7 linked regions of the Coturnix japonica genome follow. The protein of the gene in region 5 purifies or fractionates together with the protein of the main gene of each other region. This does not show direct contact. Links are inferred from orthologs where the notes say so. Each region holds a gene or a part of one and is shown on either strand. Other genes may lie near its edges.

The links.
Region 1: the proteins of SSRP1 (region 5) and SRPK1 fractionate together in Homo sapiens (co-fractionation; 3 studies listed by BioGRID and IntAct, with this or other methods). This does not show direct contact. The link is inferred for Coturnix japonica from reciprocal best matches to the Homo sapiens genes SSRP1 and SRPK1.
Region 2: the proteins of SSRP1 (region 5) and CHD1 purify together in Homo sapiens (affinity purification with mass spectrometry; 3 studies listed by BioGRID and IntAct, with this or other methods). This does not show direct contact. The link is inferred for Coturnix japonica from reciprocal best matches to the Homo sapiens genes SSRP1 and CHD1.
Region 3: the proteins of SSRP1 (region 5) and histone H2A purify together in Homo sapiens (affinity purification with mass spectrometry; 4 studies listed by BioGRID and IntAct, counting the BioPlex papers as one, with this or other methods). This does not show direct contact. The link is inferred for Coturnix japonica from reciprocal best matches to the Homo sapiens genes SSRP1 and H2AX.
Region 4: the proteins of SSRP1 (region 5) and TOP2A fractionate together in Homo sapiens (co-fractionation; 3 studies listed by BioGRID and IntAct, with this or other methods). This does not show direct contact. The link is inferred for Coturnix japonica from reciprocal best matches to the Homo sapiens genes SSRP1 and TOP2A.
Region 6: the proteins of SSRP1 (region 5) and TRIM24 purify together in Homo sapiens (affinity purification with mass spectrometry; 3 studies listed by BioGRID and IntAct, with this or other methods). This does not show direct contact. The link is inferred for Coturnix japonica from reciprocal best matches to the Homo sapiens genes SSRP1 and TRIM24.
Region 7: the proteins of SSRP1 (region 5) and MCM4 purify together in Homo sapiens (affinity purification with mass spectrometry; 4 studies listed by BioGRID and IntAct, counting the BioPlex papers as one, with this or other methods). This does not show direct contact. The link is inferred for Coturnix japonica from reciprocal best matches to the Homo sapiens genes SSRP1 and MCM4.

The regions. Positions count from the first base shown.
Region 1 is NC_029541.1:479,911-482,500, forward strand, and holds part of SRPK1 (SRSF protein kinase 1), read right to left. Parts: intron 2,128-2,590; coding exon 2,020-2,127; intron 1,437-2,019; coding exon 1,367-1,436; intron 991-1,366; coding exon 898-990; intron 379-897; coding exon 194-378; 3' UTR 1-193. UniProt on the Homo sapiens protein: Serine/arginine-rich protein-specific kinase which specifically phosphorylates its substrates at serine residues located in regions rich in arginine/serine dipeptides, known as RS domains and is involved in the phosphorylation of SR splicing factors and the regulation of splicing.
Region 2 is NC_029547.1:45,465,091-45,469,177, reverse strand, and holds the start of CHD1 (chromodomain-helicase-DNA-binding protein 1), read right to left. Parts: upstream 2,801-4,087; 5' UTR 2,487-2,800; intron 1,816-2,486; exon of another isoform or gene 1,650-1,815; intron 810-1,649; 5' UTR 674-809; coding exon 621-673; intron 1-620. UniProt on the Homo sapiens protein: ATP-dependent chromatin-remodeling factor which functions as substrate recognition component of the transcription regulatory histone acetylation (HAT) complex SAGA. Regulates polymerase II transcription.
Region 3 is NC_029539.1:24,533-27,252, forward strand, and holds histone H2A, read left to right. Parts: upstream 1-1,214; 5' UTR 1,215-1,496; coding exon 1,497-1,925; 3' UTR 1,926-2,220; downstream 2,221-2,720. Other genes in the region: DPAGT1 (UDP-N-acetylglucosamine--dolichyl-phosphate N-acetylglucosaminephosphotransferase), read left to right, coding at 563-628. UniProt on the Homo sapiens protein: Variant histone H2A which replaces conventional H2A in a subset of nucleosomes. Nucleosomes wrap and compact DNA into chromatin, limiting DNA accessibility to the cellular machineries which require DNA as a template.
Region 4 is NC_029542.1:4,104,692-4,108,913, reverse strand, and holds the start of TOP2A (DNA topoisomerase 2-alpha), read left to right. Parts: upstream 1-1,422; 5' UTR 1,423-1,437; coding exon 1,438-1,734; intron 1,735-1,808; coding exon 1,809-1,955; intron 1,956-3,038; coding exon 3,039-3,129; intron 3,130-3,405; coding exon 3,406-3,469; intron 3,470-3,922; coding exon 3,923-4,068; intron 4,069-4,222. Other genes in the region: collagen alpha-1(III) chain-like, read left to right, coding at 1-104, 271-383, 458-668. UniProt on the Homo sapiens protein: Key decatenating enzyme that alters DNA topology by binding to two double-stranded DNA molecules, generating a double-stranded break in one of the strands, passing the intact strand through the broken strand, and religating the broken strand.
Region 5 is NC_029520.1:7,754,018-7,758,008, forward strand, and holds the start of SSRP1 (FACT complex subunit SSRP1), read right to left. Parts: upstream 2,801-3,991; 5' UTR 2,667-2,800; exon of another isoform or gene 2,638-2,666; intron 2,338-2,637; 5' UTR 2,242-2,337; coding exon 2,188-2,241; intron 1,455-2,187; coding exon 1,269-1,454; intron 973-1,268; coding exon 867-972; intron 233-866; coding exon 42-232; intron 1-41. Other genes in the region: P2RX3 (P2X purinoceptor 3), read left to right, coding at 3,618-3,757. UniProt on the Homo sapiens protein: Component of the FACT complex, a general chromatin factor that acts to reorganize nucleosomes. The FACT complex is involved in multiple processes that require DNA as a template such as mRNA elongation, DNA replication and DNA repair.
Region 6 is NC_029516.1:55,859,755-55,863,780, reverse strand, and holds the start of TRIM24 (transcription intermediary factor 1-alpha), read right to left. Parts: upstream 2,801-4,026; coding exon 2,443-2,800; intron 1-2,442. UniProt on the Homo sapiens protein: Transcriptional coactivator that interacts with numerous nuclear receptors and coactivators and modulates the transcription of target genes.
Region 7 is NC_029517.1:97,603,929-97,606,920, reverse strand, and holds part of MCM4 (DNA replication licensing factor MCM4), read right to left. Parts: coding exon 2,885-2,992; intron 2,667-2,884; coding exon 2,546-2,666; intron 2,400-2,545; coding exon 2,140-2,399; intron 2,008-2,139; coding exon 1,642-2,007; intron 1,338-1,641; coding exon 1,210-1,337; intron 28-1,209; coding exon 1-27. UniProt on the Homo sapiens protein: Acts as a component of the MCM2-7 complex (MCM complex) which is the replicative helicase essential for 'once per cell cycle' DNA replication initiation and elongation in eukaryotic cells.

The sequences.
Region 1 (2,590 bases), on a different chromosome or scaffold from region 5:
CTGAGTCACAACAGCAAACTCAGCAGAACAGGTTAGATTTATCTAAAATCTTGGAAGCCTTGAAGGAAGAACTTCACGCTCAAACTGAACAAGGGAAAAAAAAAAAAAAAAACAGATCTGGGAAGGGGCAGCTGGGGGTGTGTATTCTATATTGTAAACCAGAGTGCAGTGCAGTGGCACTGGGTTGAAGCCCCTAAGAGAGAAGCCAGGGGTGCCTGAGACACTCTGCTGCTGTAGCTCGCTTCTCTGGGATCAGCTCCAACATCGGTAGTAAGAAGTCTGTAAATGCAGCTGCATCATCCTGGGACCATTCATATTTTTCCACCAAGACTTCAAAAAGGCCCCAGGGCTTCAGTTTAGTGATGTGCTTCAGATCACCTGAAAACCAAGACAGGTATGTTAACTTCAAGGCATGGTTGTAGAACAGCCAAACAACAGAACTAACAGCAAGCACAGACTGAATCCAAAGAGCTCTCCTTAATAGTTAAATGTGGGGAAGATAAAATTTGGGGCATGCTGCAGGAAAATTGATGCTAGAACCTCTTGCCTCCTCCAGGCTGAAGAAATTATGGTTGGACCAGATGACCTTGGAAGTCTTTTCCAGTCTCAGTGATTCTATGATAAACACATACAGCACTGTTTTCCAATCTGCTGTGTTTGATCTACAAGCAAGATGCCAAATAACCAGACACCGAATATTTTTAGCAGTCAGACGAGGATATTTCAGATTTAGCTGCAGTTTTGTCTTACTGTTTTCCTCCTCTCATAAAACAGACCTTAGAAGAGCTGTCTTTGCTGGCACGTGTTGTTAAGCGCTACTTCCAGCAAGGTACTTTTGTTTATTCAGATGTGGGGCAAAGGGGAAAAAAGAATAACATTTGCTTCATTTCCTTTTACCTTTTTTGGTGAAAAACTCCTTGGAATACTTCCCTGCCAAAATGAGCTTGCGAGGTATTTTCCCCAGAAGTTCTATGATCAAAGCAATGTGATCTGCATTTTGTTCAAGAGAAACGACAGAATAACATATCCACAAAAGACATCTATCTGTATGGCGCAGTTTCTCTCCCTGGAATGTTATGGACAAAAACACAACCCCCCTCAAAAACTACTTTGGCATCCACCCAAAATCAGATCACAACAGCAAAGACAGAGACTTGGAGTATGGGGATGAAGAGATGCAGGAATGATGAGTTAGAGAAGAAAGATAAAACCTAAGAGTTAAAGGAATGGAAGATATCAGGAACAAGAATGCCAGCTTCTACTGCAAATGGTCAAGCACAGCAGTCCCTTAACATCAGTCTAAACGATTTCATATTGTGCATAAAAGAAAGCTTTCATTCTGAAGGATTTGTATTTCATGCCCTACCTTCATCTCGTGAGTAGTCTTCTCCAGAATGAGGCTCAAATAGGTAGTCTCCTGTTGCTAGTTCAAAGGCCTAAAACAGCAATAAGCAAAATTAAAACACTTCAGTGCATTTCACACATTGTTAGAAGTACCACAGATTGATTCCACCCAATGCTGCTCACCACAGCAAAGGCAGACAACAGAATAATCTGCACAACTCCAGCATGCTGTGACCATCTCAAGATGCACAGTCATTCTATAGTTTTAATGACAGCACTAAAAAAACACCACAGGCATAGCTATAGTAAATTTCGGAGCAGGTTTTCTTACCATTTCAAACATGCAGACAATGCATGGGATTCGAATACTAAGACATCTATGAAACATTGCTGGATGCACCAAGAAGGCCCTTTATACAAAGATTCTTGTCTTCAGAACTGCTTCGCCATCTTGCTCATCAATAGAGCATGACAGTGAAGTGCAGTTCTATTTCAGTTCTGCCAGCATCGTACAACAAAACCCTGACTTTCAAAGGTTGCTGGGTTTGTCTGGGTTGTTTTTGGGCTTTTTGCCAGACCTGGCTAGAGATCCAGCAGACTGCAGAGTGCACAGAGCACACAAGTTTACCAGAACACTCCACAGCAGCAGCCCACAGTCCCTGGATCAGCACTCACCATACACGCCGTGCTCCAGATGTCAGCAGGGCTGCTGTACCCCGACCCTATCAACACCTCCAAGGAACGGTACTGTCTTGTCTGGATGTCCTCAGTGAAGTGCTTGTGCTAAACAGACGAAACATTTTACTGAATGGGCGGAGATTGTTTAAAGGCGAAAAACCTGGAAGGCCAGAGCAGATCGAAGCTCTTTCCCATTAGATTTCACCTGAGCTGTAGATCCTTGTTATGTTTTTCCTTATATTCCTAACCAGCACTGTTTAACTGCTCTACAGGAGACATTACTTCAATAAAAGCAGTCCAGCAACTCAAAGAAGCCACAGAAGTAGAATAGGGAGAACCGTTCCAGAGCCTACTATCTACCCTATCAGATCCTATCAGCCACCGCACAGCAGATGAGCAACACAGAAAGCCCTGCCAGATGCTGCAAGCCTGACACAGAACCGAGTCTGAAACAATTTATTTTCCTTTAAGATCTCAAGTATTTTGCCCCATTAAAAGCTACGTAAAACAGACATTTATTCCATTTGACATGTCAAACATTTAAAAGCTGCATAGAACAACCATCAAA
Region 2 (4,087 bases), on a different chromosome or scaffold from region 5:
GAAAATTTGAACTGGGGACTTACACCAAGTGAATGCTGCACTGGAATTCAGTATTAGAGGACTGTGCTTTTCTTGTTGCAGTTTAATTATTATATTATCCTTTCTTTTCCTTGTAATTAAAAATAATATAAAGAAGCTGGTAAATTGCAATCCCATCTCAGAAAAGAGACAGTTAACAATTTCAATGATTACACTGCTTTAACAGCTCTGTGAAAAAGGAAGCCTCGTGAAGTACTACAAGTCAAAAACAGAAATCAACAGCTCACTGCTCCCATATTGGAGATGGCCTTGCACATTCTAAGCTCTAACTTTAACTTTCCAGTCCTATTTCAGCTTTTGAATTTTCAAACATTTTATTTCTTCAAAAGAGTAACACTATTCTGTTGCATGCTGATGTAATTCTAATACTATCTAAGGTTTATTATATAAGGTATCTGCATGATCATTACAATTTTTAGCTGAAGCAATATGAATGTAACAAGCAGATGAAGCATTATAAGAAAGCACACCCAGTTTTCCTATCTAGTTTGCTCACTAATCTGGCACAAAGTTAAACTGTAAATCAATTTTAATGAAAGTACAGAAGAGCACATCCAAGAACAACTGAAATGAGTGCTTACCTTGACTCTCCACTGCTGTTTCTTGCACTTTCTTCATCACTGTGCCCATTCATTGTAAGTATTAAGAAGTTAAAAAGGAAGTCCACTCAGGTTACAAGGTGTATGTCAAGAATCCCCTTTCTGGTACTCCGTATATTTTTGAAGTAATGTGTCTTGCTATTCTCTTGGCTAAGATTTTTGCCCAAATACCTAAAACGATAAAGGAAAACACTGACAAAAATTGAAATTTATGTTTCCAACTAAAAATATAACAGAAACACCTTGGCCTGTCATACTAACACCGAAAGCAGGCATGCATCACATTTCATGTCCTCTTTTTAACTGAAAAACTGCATTCTATGTTACCCATTCATGGTTCCCATTCTTCCCAACAAGTCTTTTTATTTGCTGTACTTAGACAAAACAGTAATAACAGAGAGGAATCATACATGTAAAATGCAAAAAAGGAAAGACCTGTGCATTTTTTGGCCAACTACAGTCAGGTCCCATTACACTCCTTTGCGCAACTTTTCATTGACATTGCTCTAAAGATGACAGTTCTGCTAAACCACTAAATGCAGAACAGGAAACGTTATGGAAATGACCCTCACTTCAGTACTGTAGAGCAAGAAGAATGCTTTACTGTGCATGTGCACTGCGCCTCACAGATTAACTTTTACTATAGTTCTGACTTCGGGACAAATCAGCCATACATTTAGAAGAAAAACTGAACACATTGGAAAAGACTATAAATGTTAATGCTCTGCCAAGATCTGCAGAAACTAACACAGTGGAAGCATTTCTACACACGTACATGCTATTTACATACAGCTGGGGGCAGAAGCAGGATGAACACTGCTTTTTATTATTATTATTTTTTTTTTTTTTTTTTAAGTCCAAACTTAATCAAACCAGCCAGATTTTGCAGAAGAAATGACCCTCATTTCACGTGCAGGAGCACCTTAGGTTTGATGACTGTAGTATCAGATGCAGTCTATGCATCACGAGTCTAAACTTTTGCTCTCTAGGCACAAACAAGCACAAACTCACTCCAAGAAAGCAGCTCCTGCTATGTTTCCTGGTGTGAGAGCTGCCGGCGGGCTCCCTGCCCCGCAGTGCTCTCCCTGGTGAGCAGCGGCCCTGCTCTCCTTCCTTGGGGGAGAGGGTGAGAGCAGTGCCGCTGAGGGACGGGAAATTCCCCATGCTCAGACCCCTCTCAGCTACTGGGCCACTCAGGCCAGCAAACAAAGGCGATGACGGAGGGAAAATGATTAGAAAGAGCCCTTTAACCCGCGAAAGGCCGCGAGGCGAGGCCGGGGCTCGGCGGCCGTTGCCTGAGGAGGCCGCGTTCCGCACCGCGCCCTACGCGCGGAAAAACATCCCGTGGGGCCCTGAGGAACATGGTGAGCGGCCCCGCTGCTCGCTCCGAGGCGACCCGCACGGAGCCCCGCCGCCGCTCTCCCTCCGTCCGCCCCCAGGCGCTGCCGCGGGGACCCGTCCAGAGCTGCCTCCCGCCCCCGGAGCCGGCGCTGGGCGGGCGGCGCGGCCTTCACAGCCGTCGCTCCCGGCCAAGGTTCCCCGGCAGCGTCTTTAAGGCCGTCGCTGTCCTCCACGCTCGCTTCCCCCGGCGCCCCCCACGGCCGGAGGAAAGCCAAGGCCGCGCTGTGCTCCCCGCCGGCTCGGCACGGGCTCCCCCCGCAGGAGCCAGCGAGAGCGGCTCGACACCATCCGGCCGGCCGCCCCGGCCCTCGCTGTTCCCTTCCTCCTTCCGCAGAAAACAGCCCCGCGCCCCTTATCCAGAGCCCCGCACGCCCGATCCATCTCCGTGCGCCACACAACTCTGGTCCGGCGCGTGGGGAAGAGGAGCCATGGCGGGCCGCTTCCTACCTGCGTGACTCTGCTTCTGCGGGACAGGCCTTCCCCGGCCCGAGCCTGCGTGCGCCGCGCGGGGCGCTTCGTGCCGCAGCTCGCGGTCGGGAGCTGCTCCTGCGGCCGCGGCGGGGCCTGGGCCGCCGCTCACTGCCGCCGGCTCCCGGCAACCCCACGCGGAACGCTCTCCCGCCGCCCTCGGCGGCACCGAACAATGGACCCCGAAGCGGGCAGGGAGGGGCGCGGAGATAAGATAAGCAGGGTGGGCGCTGCGCTGCGCCGCTCCGCTGCCGCCGCCGCTCAAGTCCTGCCGACCGCCGCCATCACGCCGCTCAGCCTCCCCCTCCCGCGGTCGGATGGAAACCCCGAGCGTGATGTCAGCCCTGCGCCCTGGGACCGAGCGGGAGGAGGAGGAGGAGGAGGAAGGCAGGGAGGAGGAGCCACGGCCGGGCCGCGCGGAGGGTGGCGGGGGCCGGCCGGGCCTCCTCCCTACGGCGCCGGGCTCGGGGCAGCGCCTCCCCTGCAGGCAGGCGGCGCGGGGGGCCGGGCCGGGCCGGCTGGAGGGCGCTGGGCGCGGCCTGGTCCGGTGGGACGCCATGAATGCAGCGGGCCGTGCTGCGCCGGCTGTATTTCGTGTTAGCGCTCGGTTTCCCCGTGTAAAATCGGAGCCCGTTTCTCGGTGTTCCCGAGCAGTTACAAGCGGTTCCGCGGCGTCCTGAGGAAGGTTTGGCAGGAAGCAAACCTTACCCGGTCCGCTCCGCTGTTAAAAGTGATTAATAAGTCAGCCGCGTGTTTACGGTGTGCCGTGTTCTTCGAAGTAAGTAAATAAATAAACGGCGGAAGTGGTGTGTCTGCAAACGCTCCCAGGGCGGCAAAGGGACGTATGAGGGGCTCCGCTACGGCAGCGGTGGCCCGTAACCAAATACCGCGAGGAACGAGGAAGCAGCTCACCTTCCCTCTGCTCCTCACACCCACGCGGTCCTGCTCCGCCACACCTCCAGGGTTACAAACGGCGGAGACGATGTAGCAGTGCTGGGCATTTCTTCTGCGCCTCGCAAAGGAAGTCGGGATTAGCGTGAGAACAGGGTTCACTCAGCCGGGAGAACTGCGAGGGCTCACAGTGCTGGAGCAGGCAGCCCAGCGTGGCTGCACGGTCTCCTTCTCTGCAGATATTCAGAACTCACCTGGATGCTTTCCTGTGCAACCTACTGTAGGGAACCTGCTTTAGCAGAGGTTTGGATTAGATGCTCTCCAGAAGTCCCTTCCAGCCCCTACAATTCTGTGATGATGTGAAAGCAGAGAGGTGGACGTACCAGTGCACAGTGGTTTTGGTAGCTGTCAAACCAAGTCAAGCTCGAAGGGCTGTGTTGGCCAGGAGCCAGTGTGTGAGCTGCAGTCAGTCAGCTGGAGGCCTCTTGGGCTTGCGGCTTACCTTGTGGTTGCCTTTCAAGGGTGAGAAAGCCAGGCACAGCAGCACTTGCAGGAAGGTGAGCAACCAGTGCTCTAACTGTGTGACTGGGGGCTCCTGGAGTTGTTAGTTCATCTTGCCGGGTGGGGCTGTGAATCCACGGCCCCTGTGCCACTCTGAGAACATCAGAGGCCGGGTGAGGCATATTCAC
Region 3 (2,720 bases), on a different chromosome or scaffold from region 5:
TATTGCAGTTCTGTGTTTCAGTCATACCAAATAACAGTAGTACCGGTGTTATCTCCAGCTGGTGCCCTTACGTAAGTGTGGCATGCAACTCAGTGGTAGCTGGAGTTTGAGTGTGGTGTGGGAACATTTTGAAGCAACTCAGAATGCAAGAACATACCTTGCAGATAGTGCTGCTACTCCTACTCAATGCGTGAACTCTTACCTGGTAGATGTTTTGTTTCAGAAAAGACGTAGCTTAATTGCCTACAATTCCTTCTTCAGTGTCAGTTCAAAGGTAAGAGTTTCTCCTTAGGAAAAAGCACTTAAATTCCCCTTCCAACAGAAGACTTCCAACAGAGAGAGCGGGGCTCGGGCCAAGTACATCTTTGGCAGAAGGGAATAGGAAGCGCATACAGCTTGGTCTTGAGTCAGGTCACAGTGCTACATAGTGAACAGGCCGTGTATTAAAGCACATCAAATCCATCTGTAAAGGAAGAACCTGCTGACCAGTGAACTGTCTGATGTAAGGTTTCAGATTCAGGTTGGTTATTACTGTGATTTATTTGTCTGTTTTTAATCCTAGGTCCTGGGCAGCATGATTGCATTTTCAGTGCGGTACCAGCTGGTGCGCTTATTTTATGATGTCTGACTGAGCTTCCAGGAGCGGCACCTTCCAGTGAACTGTACTAAAACAATTCAATTCATCTGATATTTTGATCTGAAAACTTGAAGCCACCTTTCAAAACACGAGGAACTGCTCCAGGCCGGCCTAGAATCACAGTTCTCTTCTTATGGACAAAGCGTCTCTGTCCTGTTCTGCTGACAGTCAGCACTGCTTGCATGTCCTTGCTACCGGGAACACCTTTCAGATGGGAAATAAGCAACACGAATCTGTACAGAGTCCTTAGGGAAAGCAGGAGAAATGGAACGTCTAAATGTAAGAAACATGTTGCTGTTCCTTGAGAGAAGAAATAAGAACTGCAGCGTCTGTGAGGCTGTACGGCAGAACAAGTGAGCTGGAATTGCCCTGTTGGCTCATGAATGAGTCCATGGATGCAGAATGACGTGCTGTAATCGTACCTGTACTCAGGGCGTTCTGAGAATAAAAGAACTCGAGGTACATTGCCATCTTCGGTTCTGCCTTGCGGACATTGACGTGCGCTGTGACATGGCCCCGCCCCCTGCCGGCGCTTCGCCCCGCCCCCCGCTCACGTGGCCCCGCCCCCTCACCGTACCCGGCCGTGAGCGCCAACGTCCGCCGCGTGGTACGAATTTGGCGCCTTGTCTTCTGATTGGTCCGTCGCCGCCGCCAATAGGTGGGAGGTGAGCGCCAAGCCAGCCAGTCAGCAAAGAGGTTCAGGCGGCAGAGCTCCAATAGCGAGGCGCTGTGGCGCCGTCCAATCAGCGCGGCCCTGCCTTGAGGGAGGTTATAAAGCGCCGGGGCGGAGGCGCGTTCCCCTTGTCCCGCCGCAGAGCTCCGCAGATCCGCGTTGTGTGTCCGGTCCCTGCGAGGCGCCATGTCTGGCCGCGGTAAGAGTGGCGGTAAGGCCCGAGCGAAGGCCAAGTCCCGTTCCTCCCGGGCCGGGCTGCAGTTCCCCGTCGGGCGCGTCCACCGGCTGCTGCGGCGCGGCCATTACGCGGAGCGGGTCGGCGCCGGCGCCCCGGTGTACCTGGCGGCCGTGCTGGAGTACCTGACGGCCGAGATCCTGGAGCTGGCGGGCAACGCGGCCCGCGACAACAAGAAGACGCGCATCATCCCGCGCCACCTGCAGCTGGCGGTGCGCAACGACGAGGAGCTCAACAAGCTGCTGGGCGGCGTCACCATCGCGCAGGGCGGCGTCCTGCCCAACATCCAGGCCGTGCTGCTGCCCAAGAAGGCGGGAGGCGCCGCCAGCCCGGCCAAGGCCGGCAAGAAGGGCGGCGGGCAGCAGTCGCAGGAATACTAGGCCGCCGGGCCGGGCTCCCCTTCCCCCACCAGCACACAAAGGCCCTTTTCAGGGCCGCTCCATTGCTCACCGGGAGAGCTGCGATCCGAGGGAAGGGACGGCCGGGGGCTGCGGGAACGAGGGGGAGCTGCGATGGGAGCGGGCGGGAGGCACGGCGTGATACTGCAGTGCAGTCACATAATGCAGATACGTGATGCTCTTCCTAAAGACACCTGGTGCTCACAACGTGACTGCTGCATTCAGCAGACATTGCACAGGAAATAAACGATGCTTCAGCTCCAAAACCGGAACCCAACAATGGGTTATTCTGATGTTTCTGTAAGGCACTGCAACATGGCAGTGCAACACGATGGTTCAACCATGAACTAGAGGCAAATTTCTTATGCTTCAGCACAAAGATTGCCAGTTACTGTATATCAATGCCTGTCCTCATTCTACATCTATGTAGTTGCACTGGGAACCTAATGCTGATCTCCTTCAGCATTCCTGAAGATACCAGGGCCAAATATCCACAATTTCACTAGTTTAGCAGAAAACACTTCTGTGCTGTCAGCACAGTGCAGCACTCCAGCACTGCCCCTGTTTAGTCTGACTATAACCTGTATTTGGTGCTTTGTTACTAAATGCAATTGGAGAACAATTGCTACTACATCTCTCCTCGCAACAAAACCCTTTAAACGCGTTTCACAGAGATTTTACAACTCAGGTAAACTTAGAAAAGCAAAACTCCAATTTAGTACTTCAAGTATTTTATGCCCAAATGTCAGACAAGGCTGGTGCAAGTGTTAAAAACGC
Region 4 (4,222 bases), on a different chromosome or scaffold from region 5:
CCGGGCTCTACGGAACCTTCCGGGCGTTCCTGTCGGCCCCCAGCCAGGACCTGGCCTCCATCGTCAAGAGGACGGACAGGACCCTCCCCATCGTCAACCTGAAGGCAGGGCTTTATCCCCCCAGCAAGCACGGGCTCCCCGTGTGTTTTCCTTGCACCGAGACGCACCCACAGCCATTGCAATGGGGACAGCGGGCTTTGAGGAACGCTTGTCCCCCCCCCAAAGCTCACTGCCCCCCCCCAAAGCTCATTGCCCCCCCCGTGTCCTTAGGGCCAGCTGCTGGCTCGCTCCTGGAGCTCCCTCCTGCAGAGCCCGGCTGGAGCCGCCCTGCGCAGCCCCATCTACACGTTCAATGGGCGCAACGTGCTGAGCGATGCCCTTTGGTGAGTCCCGGCCCACGAAGGGTGGGATGTCGGGGGGTCTCCCCGGGGCTCCCCGTCATCCCGTCTCCCCGCAGGCCCCGCAGGTTGGCGTGGCACGGATCCACGGGGCGGGGCGGCCATTCCCAGCGCCGGGACTGTCAGGGCTGGCGGAGCTCCGGCCCCGGGGAGGGTCTGGCGGCCCCGCTGGGTCCGGGCCGGCTGCTGGCCGGGCAGCGCCGAAACTGCTCCGAGGAGCTGGCGGTGCTGTGCGTGGAGGTCGCCTTCCCGTACCGACACATGTGGTGAGAGACCCCCGGAATTGGGGGGGGCTGCGGCTGGGAGCAGCGGGACACCGGACACCCCGTCCATCACGGAGCCCCCCCCCCCCCCCCCACACACACACAGCGCCCACGTTTCCTCGGATATAAATAAAGGATCAATCAAAGCTGCACATCGGGCGGTTACAACGCGCTGCTTCTATTTGTTGCGTTCGGGATGGCACCAAATGGAACCGAATGGAACCAAATGGAACCGAATGGAACCGCCGTGCGGGATGAACGGGATGGGCGGGATGGGCGGGCGGGGATGGGGCTGATATGGGGCAGGTATGGGGCTGATATGGAGTTGATACGGGGCAGATATGGGGCTGGGATGGGGCAGATATGGAGCTGATATGGGGCTGATATAGGGCTGATATGGGGCTGATATAGGGCTGATATGGAGCTGATATAGGGCTGGGATGGGGCTGATATAGGGCTGGGATGGGGCTGATATAGGGCTGATATGGGGCTGATATGGGGCTGATATAGGGCTGATATTGGGCTGATATAGGGCTGATATGGAGCTGATATGGGGCTGATATGGGGCTGATATGGGGTTGATATAGGGCTGATATGGGGCTGATATAGGGCTGGATATGGGGCTGGATATGGGGCTGGATATGGGGCTGGATATGGGGCTGGATATGGGGCTGGATATGGGGCTGGATATGGGGCTGGGATGCCGCCGTGGTGCTGAGGATGGTTTTGGGGGGGCACAGTCCCGCACTGCCCCGCACGCCGCCGCCCCCCAAACGATGTACTGCGTGCCTCGCAGCGCCCTCCTTCCTCGCTCCTCTATTGGTTACCAGACCTGCCCATCAAGCAGCCCCCTCTCCCGACTGTCTGGTTTTGAAAGAGCGGAGCGCACGGGAGGGCGGGCCGTACGTCCCTCCGCCCTTCAGCGATTGGCTGTTTTCAAGGGGCGGTGCGCTGTGATTGGCGGAGCGTTTCGGCGGGCTCGGCGGAGGTTTGAAACGCGCTGCGCCGTTACCGGCCGCCATCACTCCGCGCCCGCCGCCATGGAGCTCATGGACTCACCGGCGCCGCTCCGGGTACGTGAGGGACCGACCAGACCCTCCCTCCATCCCTCCCTCCCCACCCCGCTGAGCTCCGCTCTCTCCCGCAGCCCCTTCACGACAACGCCCGGCTGCCCAAGGCCGATGTGGCGCAGAAGCGGCTCTCGGTGGAGCGCATCTACCAGAAGAAGACGCAGCTGGAGCATATTCTGCTGCGGCCGGACACGTACATCGGGTCTGTGGAGACCGTCACGCAGGTGGGGAGACCTGTGATGTGTGATATATGTGTGATATATGTGTGATGTATGTGTGATGTATGTGTGATGTATGTGTGATGTATGTGTGATGTATGTGTGATACATGTGTGATACATGTGTGATACATGTGTGATATATGTGTGATGTGATATATGTGTGATACATGTGTGATACATGTGTGATACATGTGTGATACATGTGTGATACATGTGTGATGTATGTGTGATGTATGTGTGATGTATGTGTGATGTATGTGTGATGTATGTGTGATATATGTGAGATATATGTGTGATATATGTGAGATATATGTGTGATATATGTGTGATATATGTGTGATATATGTGCTGTGTGTGGTGTATGTAATGTATGTGGTGTGTATGTGGTATATGTGGTGTATGTAATGTATGTGGTATGTGACATGTATGTGACATGTATGTGACATGGGGTGTATGTGACATGTATGTGACATGGGGTGTATGTGGTGTATGTAATGTATGTGGTGTATGTAATGTATGTGGTATATATGATATATGTGCTATATGTGGTGTGTGTAATGTATGTGGTGTCTGTAATGTATGTGGTATATGTGATATATGTGGTATATGTGGCAAATATGGTATATGTGGTGTATGTGGTATATGTAATGTATGTGGTGTATGTAATGTATGTGGTATATATGATATATATGTGATATATGTGCTATACATGGTGTATGTGATGTATGTGGTATATGTAATGTATGTGGTATATGTGATATATGTGGTATGTATTATATATGTGGTGTATGTATTGTATGTGGTATGTATATGTGGTGTATGTAATGCATGTGGTATATATAATATATGATATATGTGCTATATGTGGTGTATGTGATGTATGTGGTATATATGATATATGTGCTATATGTGGTGTGTGTAATGTATGTGGTATATATGGTATATGTGGTGTATGTAATGTATGTGGCATGTGTGATATATGTGGTGTATGTGGTATATATGATATATGTGGTGTATGTGATATATGTGCTATATGTGCTATATGTGGTGTATGTGTGTGCTGTATGTGGCTCCTTCTTCATTGCAGCAAATGTGGGTGTTCGATGAGGACGTGGGCCTCAACTGCAGGGATGTGACCTTCGTGCCTGGCCTGTACAAGATCTTCGATGAGATCCTGGGTGAGTGCAGCCCAGCATTGTACCTGCCCTCCAAAGGACACGGCCGCTGTGTTACAGCCCGTTTAACCCTCAGTTCTGCTGTGGGTGCTGTTATTGTAGCGTCCTTCTTTGTAACCTGCCAAACATCTCCCTTCCAAAGAGTTAATTGGTGGTTTTGCATTGGATCTTTGCATTTGTTCTACTGAAAACCCCACCTGATTTAGCCCTTTCACTATGGTTTATGTCTATTGTCCCACTTGTGAATGCGCTCTAATAAAAGTCACCTTCCCCTTCCAGTCAACGCTGCAGACAACAAGCAGAGGGATAAAAGCATGTCCTGCATCAAAGTTACCATCGACCCGTGAGTGCTGCTTTTGTCCAATGCCTTCCCCCCTCAGCTGCTTCATTCTCTCACTCCCTCACTGCCCTGTTGGTGTATGTACATCATCCTGTTGATGTAGGTGCTGCAGAGCTCAGTGTCGAGGCCTATTCATGTTAAACCTACCGTGGCTCATGGGCTGTAACAGCCTCATTCCTTGTGTGCTTCCTCGTTCTGTTGCAGAGCACTGACTGCCAGGCTGTGGTTGCACTGAGCACACGCTTTCTGTGTGCTGCTCCATTGTATTGGTGCTCTGCAGGTCTGAAGCTGGAGGGCTTTTTGTAGACTTGCCCTCCCTCTGCTGGCTGCTGCCGCAGTTGCTGAACAGGAATCTGTCTGTAGATGAAATGGTGGCCTTCCTGTGGAGATCTTGTCTATTTGTTTCAGAGCTCAGTCATCTGCAGCCTTACAAATTATACTTTCCTCCTCCTCCAGAGAGAATAACACCATCAGTGTGTGGAACAATGGGAAGGGTATCCCAGTTGTTGAACACAAAGTAGAAAAAGTGTATGTTCCTGCTTTAATCTTTGGGCAGCTGCTGACATCCAGCAACTACGATGATGATGAGAAGAAAGTCACAGGTAGGGAACACTGCAGAGCGTGCAGATGTACCTGGGCAGCCTGACTGTGTGATCTGGGAACTGAAGTACCTATATGAGTAACTGGTGTTAATTAAATGCAGCTTTATAGTGGCTGCAGGGTTTGTGGGACAGTTTATTGTTAGTCATACTTGGT
Region 5 (3,991 bases):
TAGGCGAGGGCAACCAACTAGCCCTCCTGTGCCTCACTCACCTCCACAGGGTCAACACCATCCTCCTGGGTAGGGGGGACGTAGAAGCGAACCTCCATGAGCGAGACCTCAGCGTCATCGTTCTGGTGGAACTCCAGCGTCACTTCGTTCTTGCCCGTCGTGCACTGGGAGACATTGCTGAGGGGGATCTCAAACACCGGCTGCTCCCCGATGTCAAAGGAGAGAAGCTGCCCTACAGGAAGTGGGGAGGGATAAGAACCTCAGGTCAACCCTGCTGGGCAGACCCAAGGTGAGTTCCATCCCAGATCCAAACTCCAGAAGCAGCATCGTTCTTCTCTCAAAACCCAGCAGTGCCTCCCCTCTCCCTCCCTTCTTTTCAATGTTTTCAACGCAGATATCCAGGCTTTCTCCTCCCAGCTACAGTAACAGAGAATTATATTGATCAAAAACAAATAGGCTGTTTATTCCCCTCTTCCTCCTCTCTCAGAGCAGGGAGGGGCATTCACCAGCTCTTCTGGCTCCCTGAGGAATTGGCAGGCTCTATTAGATGCTCACAGCTCCCATGCAGATTTCTCTTTTACATTGAGCATTCTCTGCCTACCCCCACCCCGAACATGCTGTGCTGCCTGCAAGTATCTCCTGCTTTCCTGGGATGACCGACATCCATACTGTATCCAAAACCACCACTAAAAAAGGGAGCAGTTTTCCAGAGGAGCATCTAAAGCTGTCAACAGCCAGGGGCTGGTGGGATGAAGACACTGACCCACCAGATGCCCATCCAGCCCCACCACCTTGACCTACACACTGCAGACTCTCTTGCTCCAGCAGCAGCATCACCGCTCTGTTCCTGTCTTACCATAACTCACCTCCAAACCTCACTGTGCCCCAGTTCCAACCCTTCACACACAGGTCCTTCTCAGCCAGCTCCAGGCGATAGTGTGCCTTGAAGAAATCTGAGAGCTTATCAAACTCCTGTGAGGGGTGGGAAAGAACAGAGAAAAAGTGAACGCTCATCAGAAACTGCTGTGTACGCATCAGCACGACCCAGAGCCTGTAACTGGGACATTGCCCATGGTACGAGAGAAGTGATGAGAAAAAAACAGACATCAGCTGCTGTTAAAGGGAAGGAGATCAGCTCTGTGAGATATGGCAGATCCTGCAGGCAGTGTAACCCGATACAGAGCAAGCAAAGAGACTGTGGCACAAGCGAGCTGAAGAAAGGATGGTCAGCATGGCTCAGACAACAGTCAGAAACGGCACGGACTCACCGATTCCCGGAAACCATCGTATTTGTAGACATGGCCATTCTTGGTGAGAAGCTTGAGGCCGTGACCGAGCGCCACACGCCGCCACACACCCTCTGCCAGCTCCGAGGCCTGGATGTTGTCCACCTTCCCTGTCTTGCTGTTCTTGAAGATGACGCCCTGGCGGCTCAGCCGCAGCCGGCCATCGTTCTGGTGGGAGGTGGGTGTGAGGTACAGGCAGCTTGCCCCGTGCACATGGAGGGGAGCAGCCCAAGGGTGGGAACTTCCACGCAGCACAGACAGCTGCTAAGCTCTCCCAGGGGACGCAAAGCGAATTCCCCAACCACCCACCAGTTTCTGTTCTCCATGCACTCCTTACCACCCTCCTTTGGGATTCAGGCAGCCGGGTTGCCAGCAGCCTCGGTACTAGAGCTCCATCAGGCATTTAGGAACAGTCTCCCAGATGCCACAGGGTAACCCAGAAATGCTCAACATCACTGCAGCATGGCACTGCGCCCCACCCCCCCAAGCACTGGAACAGGCTGATTTACAGCACCCAGCTGCCCAGCAGTAGCTACTGCATCAAAGGGTGAATGCTTGAAGCTGGCATCCCTTCCCCTGGACACGTTCCCAACCACAACCTTGCTAGCTCCGCAACAGGCTGCTACTAAAAGCCCCTGTTGATGCTCCAAAATGCTTCAGCTCTGGAAACAAGGCGCCTCAGCTCCCATTTCCAGTCGAGCTCAGCAAAACAAGCTCTGCCAGGACAAGGCAGCGGAAGAGCTGCAGGGATGGGGGGGGGGGGGCCATACCGCACCCCTGGGTGTACAGCTGAGACCAGGCCTCAGAGCCACACCGTGTGCCTCCAGCCTGTGAGATGGGGCGAGCACTCCTGGCATCAGGCAGCACCCCAGATAGCTGCCCCCAGCACCGAGCTGCTCACCATGGATCCCTTCACCTCCTGGTAGATCTCGTTGAACTCCAGCGTGTCAGCCATGACGAAGGGGGCCGTGCTGGCAGGCAGGCAGGAGGAGGCCGGAGTTCAGCTCCGTGCCGAGGTCGGCATGCCCTGCTGCCACCGAGCAGCGACGTGCTGGGGGCGGAGGAGGGGGGAGAAAGTGAGTACGGACATGGGAACCCCAGAGCGATCCGTGAGGGATGTGACCCCACAGCAACACCCCCCCCTTAACGCCTCCCCGGGGCTCCCAGGGCCGTTGATCCTCCCGTCCCACTACAGAAGGGGCACAACAGCCCTGAGCAGCCCCTACCACCCCTTGTTCCTAGGCCCCACGCCCCCATCCGCCGCCCCACAGCTCACACCGGCCGCCCCCCCTCCCATCACCCCCTCCCCCCAGCGCCCTCCCCACCCATCACCCCCCCCCCGTCAGCCGACCCCTCGTTTCCCGCCTGCGCAACACGAACCTCGCGCGAAGCCGCCTCCCCCCACAACCGCCTCCCGCGCCGCGGCCGGAACCCGCCCCCACTTCCGCCATAGAGACGAGCCGCCGCTCGGCCGCTCTGGCATGGAGGCGGCGGGGTGGAAGGAGGGCGGGCTAGAGCGGCCGCTCCCCGAAGCGGCGGTCTGTCTCACCTGGAACCATAGAGAGGAGGGAGGCCTCCAGCCGGAAAGTGGGGGGGCTGCTTCCCATTGGCTGAGCCGGGTGATCCCCGTGACGTTATGGTGGCTGTGCCCGGCACATGGCGGGTCGGGGTACAGCTCTAATAGGGCACTGCGGAATGGGGGTACGGCCAACGTGGGGCACCCCGCGTAAAGGGCAGCCCTACAGCGGGACACAGCGATATGGGACCCGGCCAGGCGCTGCGAGATGGCACACGGGGTCCGCGAGCACAGAGACACCCGGAGTGGGACCATCCCGAGTGCGGGGCATTAAAAACCAGAGTCACACTATTCAACACAGGGCACACAGCAACAACAACAGGGCATACAGCCCCCAACAACGGGGCACACAGCCCCAACAACAGGGCACACAACCCCAGTAGGGCACACAGCCCCCCAGGGCACCCGGGCAGCGCTGCCCCGTGTAGCACCGCCGCACAACCAGCCCTCTCTCACCGCCTCTCTCAGCCCTCCCCCCACCCACATCCTCCTCCCCTCCCTCCTCCTCCTTCCCCCCGTGCCCCCTCCCTCCATCTCCCCCTGCCCCCCCTCCCGCTCCCTCCGTCCTGTGCCCACCCCTCTGCACCACCCCGCCCGCATCCCTGCCCACATCCCCGCATCGCTGCCTTTATCTGCCCGCATCCCTGCCCGCTGCCTGTATCCCTGCCTCGCTCCCTGCGTCCGTCCCTTCCCACCGCCCGTATCCCCACCCGTATCCTTGTGGAGCCCCTGCTTGTGCCCCCGCCCGGCTGCCCATGCCCCCCCAGCGCTCCCAGTCCGGCTGCCTGGCTGATTTCTTCTCCTACGAGACCACCAAGTCGGTGGTGGTGAAGAGCTGGGTGGTGGGCGTCGTCAACCGGGTCGTGCAGCTCCTCATCCTTTCCTACTTCATCGGGTGAGAGACCCTCCCAACGGGACCCCGCTCCTCTGCTGGTGTCCCCCCACCCCTCGGCAGACGCTGCTCCCGGTGTACACGGTTTCCCTGATGCCGTGGTGACAAGCTGGGGACCGGGAGGGTGACACCGAGAGGGGACGTTGGGTGGGTGCATGATGTGGGGTCAGGAGGGTGTCGTGGGAATGGCAGCTGCCCGCTGGGTGTGGGGGTGGGAACCAGGCTGTGAGAAGTGAT
Region 6 (4,026 bases), on a different chromosome or scaffold from region 5:
GCTGTCCATATTGACCTGTGCATCAAGTGCGCAACACCGAAACTCTCAATTCACTTACGATCCTCAGGTTTGAAAGCTTTTTCACAGCACGCTCTTCTTAGCTGTTAATAACTTAGCAGGGAGTGAGCCAACAATCTCCCAGGTTGTCTTCCAACACGAGTTTTAGTAAAGCAAAGGAGCATTTCCGCTTGGAAGTGGTTTACTGAAGACAAAAAGCTGATTAATAGGAGCTCACACATCCAGACTACACTAGAAAATCGGTTTGTTTTTAGTTCCCAGTTCCTCAGTTAACGTGGATATTAGCACAGCACGACGCGCCTTCCCAGAGCTGGCGCACTGAGGCATTTGTCAAATCAGAGCCTTTCCTTTGTTCAAGCCTGATTCCCTCCTGCCAGTCTTTCTCCAGGCATCTTTTTGTGCCTGGTACTGCTCGGTACATGTGCATAAGCAGCCCTCCTGTTTACCTTTCAGGAGTTTTTCATAGTTTGTTATTCTATTGTAGCCCTTCCATAGGACATTGCTTCTAGCGAACAGCTTCTTCGCTTGTTTATTTCTTCGCTGCAGTCACGGGATCTTATAATTTACATAACGTGAGGAATTTATTGTCTAGCTTTCTAAGCTTATACTCTTCTGTTTATTACTTCAGATAATTTCTCATACACATTTTGTGCAACGTATTACTGGAGGTGACAGCTTTATGCTGTTTTGTCCCTTCTTCTGTCTTCTGAAACTCCAGGACTTCCTTCAACCACAACACATTATTCCTCGCAATAATCAGCTCTATAAGGTGAGTCTTTCTTCAAAGCCTAACATAAATTTACTACTCCCTTTACATCACTTGGAAAACAAAGCAGCCAATGCACGTGTAATTAGCTGGTACGCTGTCACTTCAACGTAGCCAAAACAGTGACAAGACCTAAGGAATGTGACAAAGACTGTGAGATCTATACGGGTTTCTTCTTCCCAATGGACAATTAACAGTAGCGTGGAAGCACACAAATAACTAGAAAGAAAGTAGGGTAAAAATTGGTATGGCTGTATACTTGAAGAACAGAGAGAAGTATGCATTGAGCTATTCATTCATACACAGCCCACTCACATCATCAGAAAGAGTGAATGGCGGTATCAGTTCACTGCTGCTATGATTCATTGTTTTAGCTGTCCTTTGTCCTCCTGTAAGCAGACGTTCGAACAGCACTCATCTTTTCATTCTTAAGATGCATCTCATTTCATGCTCAACGGCACCTCGTTTTATTTCTGCTATATTTAAACATAACGTCTGGGAATTGAGCTATGCTATTCATGACCTCGAAACTCCTAATGATCGCACTCTCCCACAACCTATGTTGCAACTCCTGAGCTGGCAGCATCTATGCCCCCATTTCTCCTTTCCAAGTCCCATCTTAAAATATCTCACCATCCACCAAGTTTGGGCTTTGCATGTTAATTCTATACAGTTCACGGCTCTGCTCTGAAATGGAAGAGCAACAGCATCTCCTGGATCCGACAAGTTTAAATACACCAGCTTTGGGTCTCACCGATTACCCGATTCTTAAAGTTCTGATGAGACAACCTGACTGCTACCTAAACTAAATGTTAAAATTAAAGGCTGAATGAACATACTAACACAGACATCCACGTGGAGGAACAGGCTCAGCATACCCTGCTAACAAACATCCCAGGCCTGACTTTCTCAGGTAAGCCCAAGCAAGGCTCCAATTGTCCCAAGTATTTAGATAGACGGTTTTCTTTTGTATACAGCCGGAAATGGTTCAAGCTGTACCCCTTTGGATCAGATGTGCTGGCGGGTAGTAGAAACAGAAGCCTTTATTACTGAGCAAGTAATTGTCTTAAGTACCAGGTACTTAAGAGGACAATGGCCGATACCTACTCAATAACGGCCAGTCTGGAGTTCCTGCCGCCTTGTGTAGGTAGAATTTTCTACTCGAGCTCACAAAAAGCACAGCCACATACATCCTATTAACTCCTATCATCAAAGTTGAGCATCTCTGCACGCAGCATTCTCCAGGACCTTCCCCGTTCTCAGCAGATGATGCTTGCGGGTACCGTTCCCTACGATGCAGCTGCAGGTCGGACCGCTCCTCAAGCATTTCAAACACACTCAACATCAACACGAGCTCCCGTATCTCCAAAGGAGCTCCCCAAAACTTTCTCACGGCATTCCCTGTCCGCTGTGGCACAAACCAAGTTTCCTCCGGCGGGCCGGAGCTGCCCGCGGCGCTGAGCGGACAGGTGCCACCCGACCGGCCGGCGGTGCTTGGCGCTACGAGGATGACACCCGCCGGACTTCCCGGGCCGAGGTGGGAAATTTGAACGAAATAAAGAAACACCGACCCCGCCCCCCCTCCCCTCCCCGCCCACTAACCTCCCCTCGCGACACCCCGCCATCTATCGCGACAGACGCGTCCCCAGCGGCCTTACCGGGCGTGCAGTGGAGGGGCGAGGGGCCGGGCGAGGCGGGAGGGGGCGGCGGCTCCTTGGTCGGTGCGGCGGGGGGCAGCATGAGGTAGCGGTCGGGCTGCGGCAGGCAGCGCTGACACACGGTGTGGAGGCAGGGCAGCAGCTTGGGCTGCCGGCTCTGGATGGGCTGCCCGCACACGCCGCAAGTGTCCAACAGGTTGAGCGGGGCCGCCTCCCCGCCGCGTTCCGCCGGGCCCTGGCGGCTCTCGGCCTCGTTCTCCCCGCTCAGCGCCGCCGCCCCCGTCCGATCCACCGGGCACGGCCCCCCCTTGGCCGCCGCCGCTTCCGTCGCTACAACCGTAGCCGTCGCTTCTTCCATTGTCCTGAGCCGGTCTACGGAGCGCCGAAGAGAGGCGGGGCGGCCCCTCCGTCCGCCGCCTTTCTCCCGCCTTCCCTCGCCGACACCCACCCGCGGGCGGCCCGCGCTGTTTGTGTGCGTGCCCCGGGAGGAGGCTGCCCCGCCGCCACAAACGGCCAACGGCCGCCCGCGCCCCGCCCCGCTCCTCTCCCCCTCCGCTGCACGCCCCTCCCCGCTCCACACCCCCGGCTACGTGCGGAGCGAGCCGGCCCGGCCCGCCCTCGAACCAACCAGCCCCTTCCCTCACGTAGGCCCCGCCCCTCATAAGCCTCCCCCGCTGTAGGCCGTGCCCCTAATGGCTCTCATCCGCAGGCGGTCTCCTCACCTCTGTGCGCAGCCCTCACCACCCAAAAACAGCCCTGCACCCCACCGGTTCGAGTTCACTTTGTTAAAGACTTCCAACTGCTGCAGCCCGAGTGGTTGGGCCAGGAGGCATGTAGACATTTTGGCCTGTGTTCAGTTTGGCCCGTGGCATCGATGCCTCTGTTCACAGGCACATCGCCGAACTGAAGTTGATAGGCAATCAGTAAAACTTTAAAAGTACAGATCTAGTTTGGACGCACCGTTCTGCTGAATCAAATGCTTAAACTTCAGTACACACGCTGATGTAAAACATTGCCTATGTATTGGTCACAGGTCAGTCATAGGCTGATTCACGCTGATGCCAGATGGCTCAGTAGCCCGCTTTCTGGCAATCCCTTCTAGATCAGAGATAAATGTAATTCCTGGTTCCAACTCAACTATACAATATCAGCTCAACAGACAGGGAAGCATGACATGACACCAGCAGCACTTGTCCAAAGCAACTTCTGCCTCCCAACCTGGCTCAAATCCTGCCCTCCTCTCTACCATCTTGGCTGTGCAGCACTATATGATGGTGTTCTATTTAGTCCTTGTGACAGGAGCTAATGTGCCAAGACTGTGTAAATGCTAAATGATGAAACAGGGTCAGGAATTAAAACTAATGATAACGGCATGAGTTCTGTTAGGTGAAAAAAAAAGCAACAAAACCACCACTGGGATAGGCAGGTGATAACTGAAGTGCATTTGATTAGTTTTAATGGCAAATGATTGGAAAGTCAATGAATAATGTATTTCTAATGAATGACAGGAAACCATGCGTTCATCAGACCAGTTTCTGCAACTAGAATTAGCTGTTTCTCCAGCAGGAGTCTGGACAGGAAAGT
Region 7 (2,992 bases), on a different chromosome or scaffold from region 5:
TCCAACATTAAAAAGATCAAGTCAAACCTGAACGGAATAAGAATCAAATATGAGCGTGTATATTTTCCTGCAATTTAAAGTTGATTCTTTTATGGTTTTTCACTTCACAATTAGATTTAGGAGATACTACTCCAAATGAAGGGTGCTCTTTAAACTGAAAGAGTACTTTTCCCTCAAACACCTTTAAATACAAAACACTACAGAACTGCAGCTGGCTAGATCACCGAGTCTAACCCTCAGATCAGTTTGAATTTGCTTTCAACATATGCACTTTGAAGACAAGATACATTTTGTGAAATTTGGTTCAAGGCAGACTTGGTCTTTTTTCTTTGGGAGTTTTAAACAAATAACACAGAACAAACTTACTGTAAGAGCTGCTGCCCTGAAAAGCAGCAGCAACCAAAGTGCATAACTATTCACTATATTCATATAGATGTATATGCATTTAAAATAAATACAAAATATTAGTTCTGCACACAATAGGTAACATTGTAGGTAACTGTAAATAATAATGTTCTAGCTAGTTAGTCACGTATTTTCAAAACCTTAAATCCAATAAATGGCAGAAATGAGACATGCTCAAACCTAGTTTCCTTCGGTATATCCCAGCTAAGGTACTTACCTGTCATTGTCAGCAGCCTTTCATTGAATTCTGAACTATAAATGGTGTTCTCAGAATATCCAGCATACCATCCATATACTTTAAATTAGTGTAGGAACTGCTCACCAGATGCAATTAAAGTACATAGCTTAATTTCACATCTGCAGATGCTACATGCTGTTTTAACAGCTACTGTCCAAGGAGATCTATGCCCCCTCCCTGACTGAATTTCACAGGATGAAAACAAGCAGGCACAGAACTTTAGAGTCCACCACATCCAGTGCAAGTTCCCTAATCATCAGTGTTTCACTTCAAACTTGTGCAGGGTTATGAAAATCATGCTGGGTTTCCATTCAAGTTACCAACTACTGTAAGGTTCAAGGTAACTCCTCCAGAGGATGATCTTGAGACAAGGGGGAAGGAAAAAAAAGCCAACAAAAGAACACAACAAAGATTAAGATCCACAGATTTTATCAGATCTTCTGTTCAAGATGAATAGACTAGAAGGTAGATCTCCACTCATGCAGAAGCTGCAATTCTGATTCTACCATACTGAATCCTTTTCACAACAGGTAAAAAAAACATGAGACATGTGAAGGGTTCAGTACCTTGATAACAGTGTGTGAGGAAGCTGGATGTTTTCAATAGTATTCTTTTTTGGATTCCATTGTGATTCTATTGGGTTAGCTGCTGCTAGAATAGATGTGCGAGCATTCAGTTGACAAATGATTCCGGCCTGTTAAAATGAAAAAGCAGTTCTGGATTCAGAACCTTCATAAGATCAGTGTCATTTAAAGGGTTTCATAATAGAAAAACTCATTGCAGAAGCCTACTAGAGTAAAGCAAGAAGAAAAGCATCTGGAAATAATACAGTTCATGCAAGGATAGCCCTGTGTCCATAAGCACGAGATGTTATATAATTTAGGATTGAAATCCTAACAACACCGGAAAAGTACAACCCTGGTTCTGGCAACTTCTTGGTTTCATCTGCCCTGAGCTGATGCTTAGAACAAAAAACTTGGACTTAAGCAGACACCAACCTTTGCAATGGAGAGAGTCTGTTGTTCCATTACTTCATGAAGTACTGATCTTGTGCTTTCATTCATTTTGTCAAACTCATCAATGCAGCAAATGCCATTATCACTGAGTACTAAAGCGCCTGTCTGAAGAACCAGCTGCCGAGTTTCTGGATCCTTCATCACATATGCAGTAAGACCAACCGCACTTGAGCCTTTCCCAGAGGTATACTGGCCTCGAGGAACCAGGTTATACACATACTGGAGTAGCTGGGATTTACTAGTGCCGGGATCACCGCAGAGAAGAATGTTGATCTCTGCACGGAAGTTGCCTCTACCTGTGCGAGTGAAATCCTTTCTTGATCCTCCAAAGAGCTGAAGTAGAATGCCCTGTTAAAAAAACAAACGTGCTCTTTAAAGTCAAAATATCAACTCATTTGAAGTCTCATTTGTATAGCAAACAATTAAAGAGTACTTGCAATTCAGAAATGTTTTACAAGCAAAATACACAATTCCTTTTACCTTTTTGATATCTTCATGCTCGTAGATACTTGGGGCCAGTGCTGAAGAAAGTCTCTCATATATGTCTGCTTTAGTAGACAGCTCTTTTAGAAATGCCACACGTTCTTCTGTAAACATTTTTTGCTCCGTTTCCTCATCAACACCGTGCAGGCGTTTTGAATCAGTCTTGCGATAATGTATGACATCAATGTGGGTCTTATAGACAGATTTTACAACACTGACCCTCGGATTAACTCGAACTGGGACTGCCCTGTAGATGCCTAAATACAATTAATGACAGCATTAGATAAAAGAAACATATTAACTAATATGTCTTAAGAAGCGTCCAATTGCCAGACAAGCAGACTCATAGATTAAACTACTACAGTTCAGTTAAAAAGGAAAATGCAAATAAAGTAAATTTTACCTGTGACATTAATTCTATCGCCTGGTTGAACTTTATCAACAAGGTCATTGTGAGCAAACAGTGCAACCGTATGAGGTGTCTGTCCGGCTGGCATATCTTCAGGGGATTCCTGCAGTTTGATCTAGCAAAAACAAATAAAACCAAGTCGAAAGTAAGAAAAAAAAGAAAGCTGTACACAAGGTATACAAGATCTTGTATTATCACAGCTTCCTGCATCATTTTCAATTAGGAACTTTCCTTCTCAAGATGCATACCTTCATGCTGTGATGATATTAGGGGAGATGGGAAACAAGAACTGGAAAAAAGTTTCATTTTATCCAATATCAAAGCACAACGTACCATCTGTTTGTCAGAAAACATGGACCTGTTGTGAATCAGAGCCATACTGTGCGTCGTGTTACAGTTCCTGCACACTGATGGTTCAGCAATCCTGCCGCGGTCAATTTC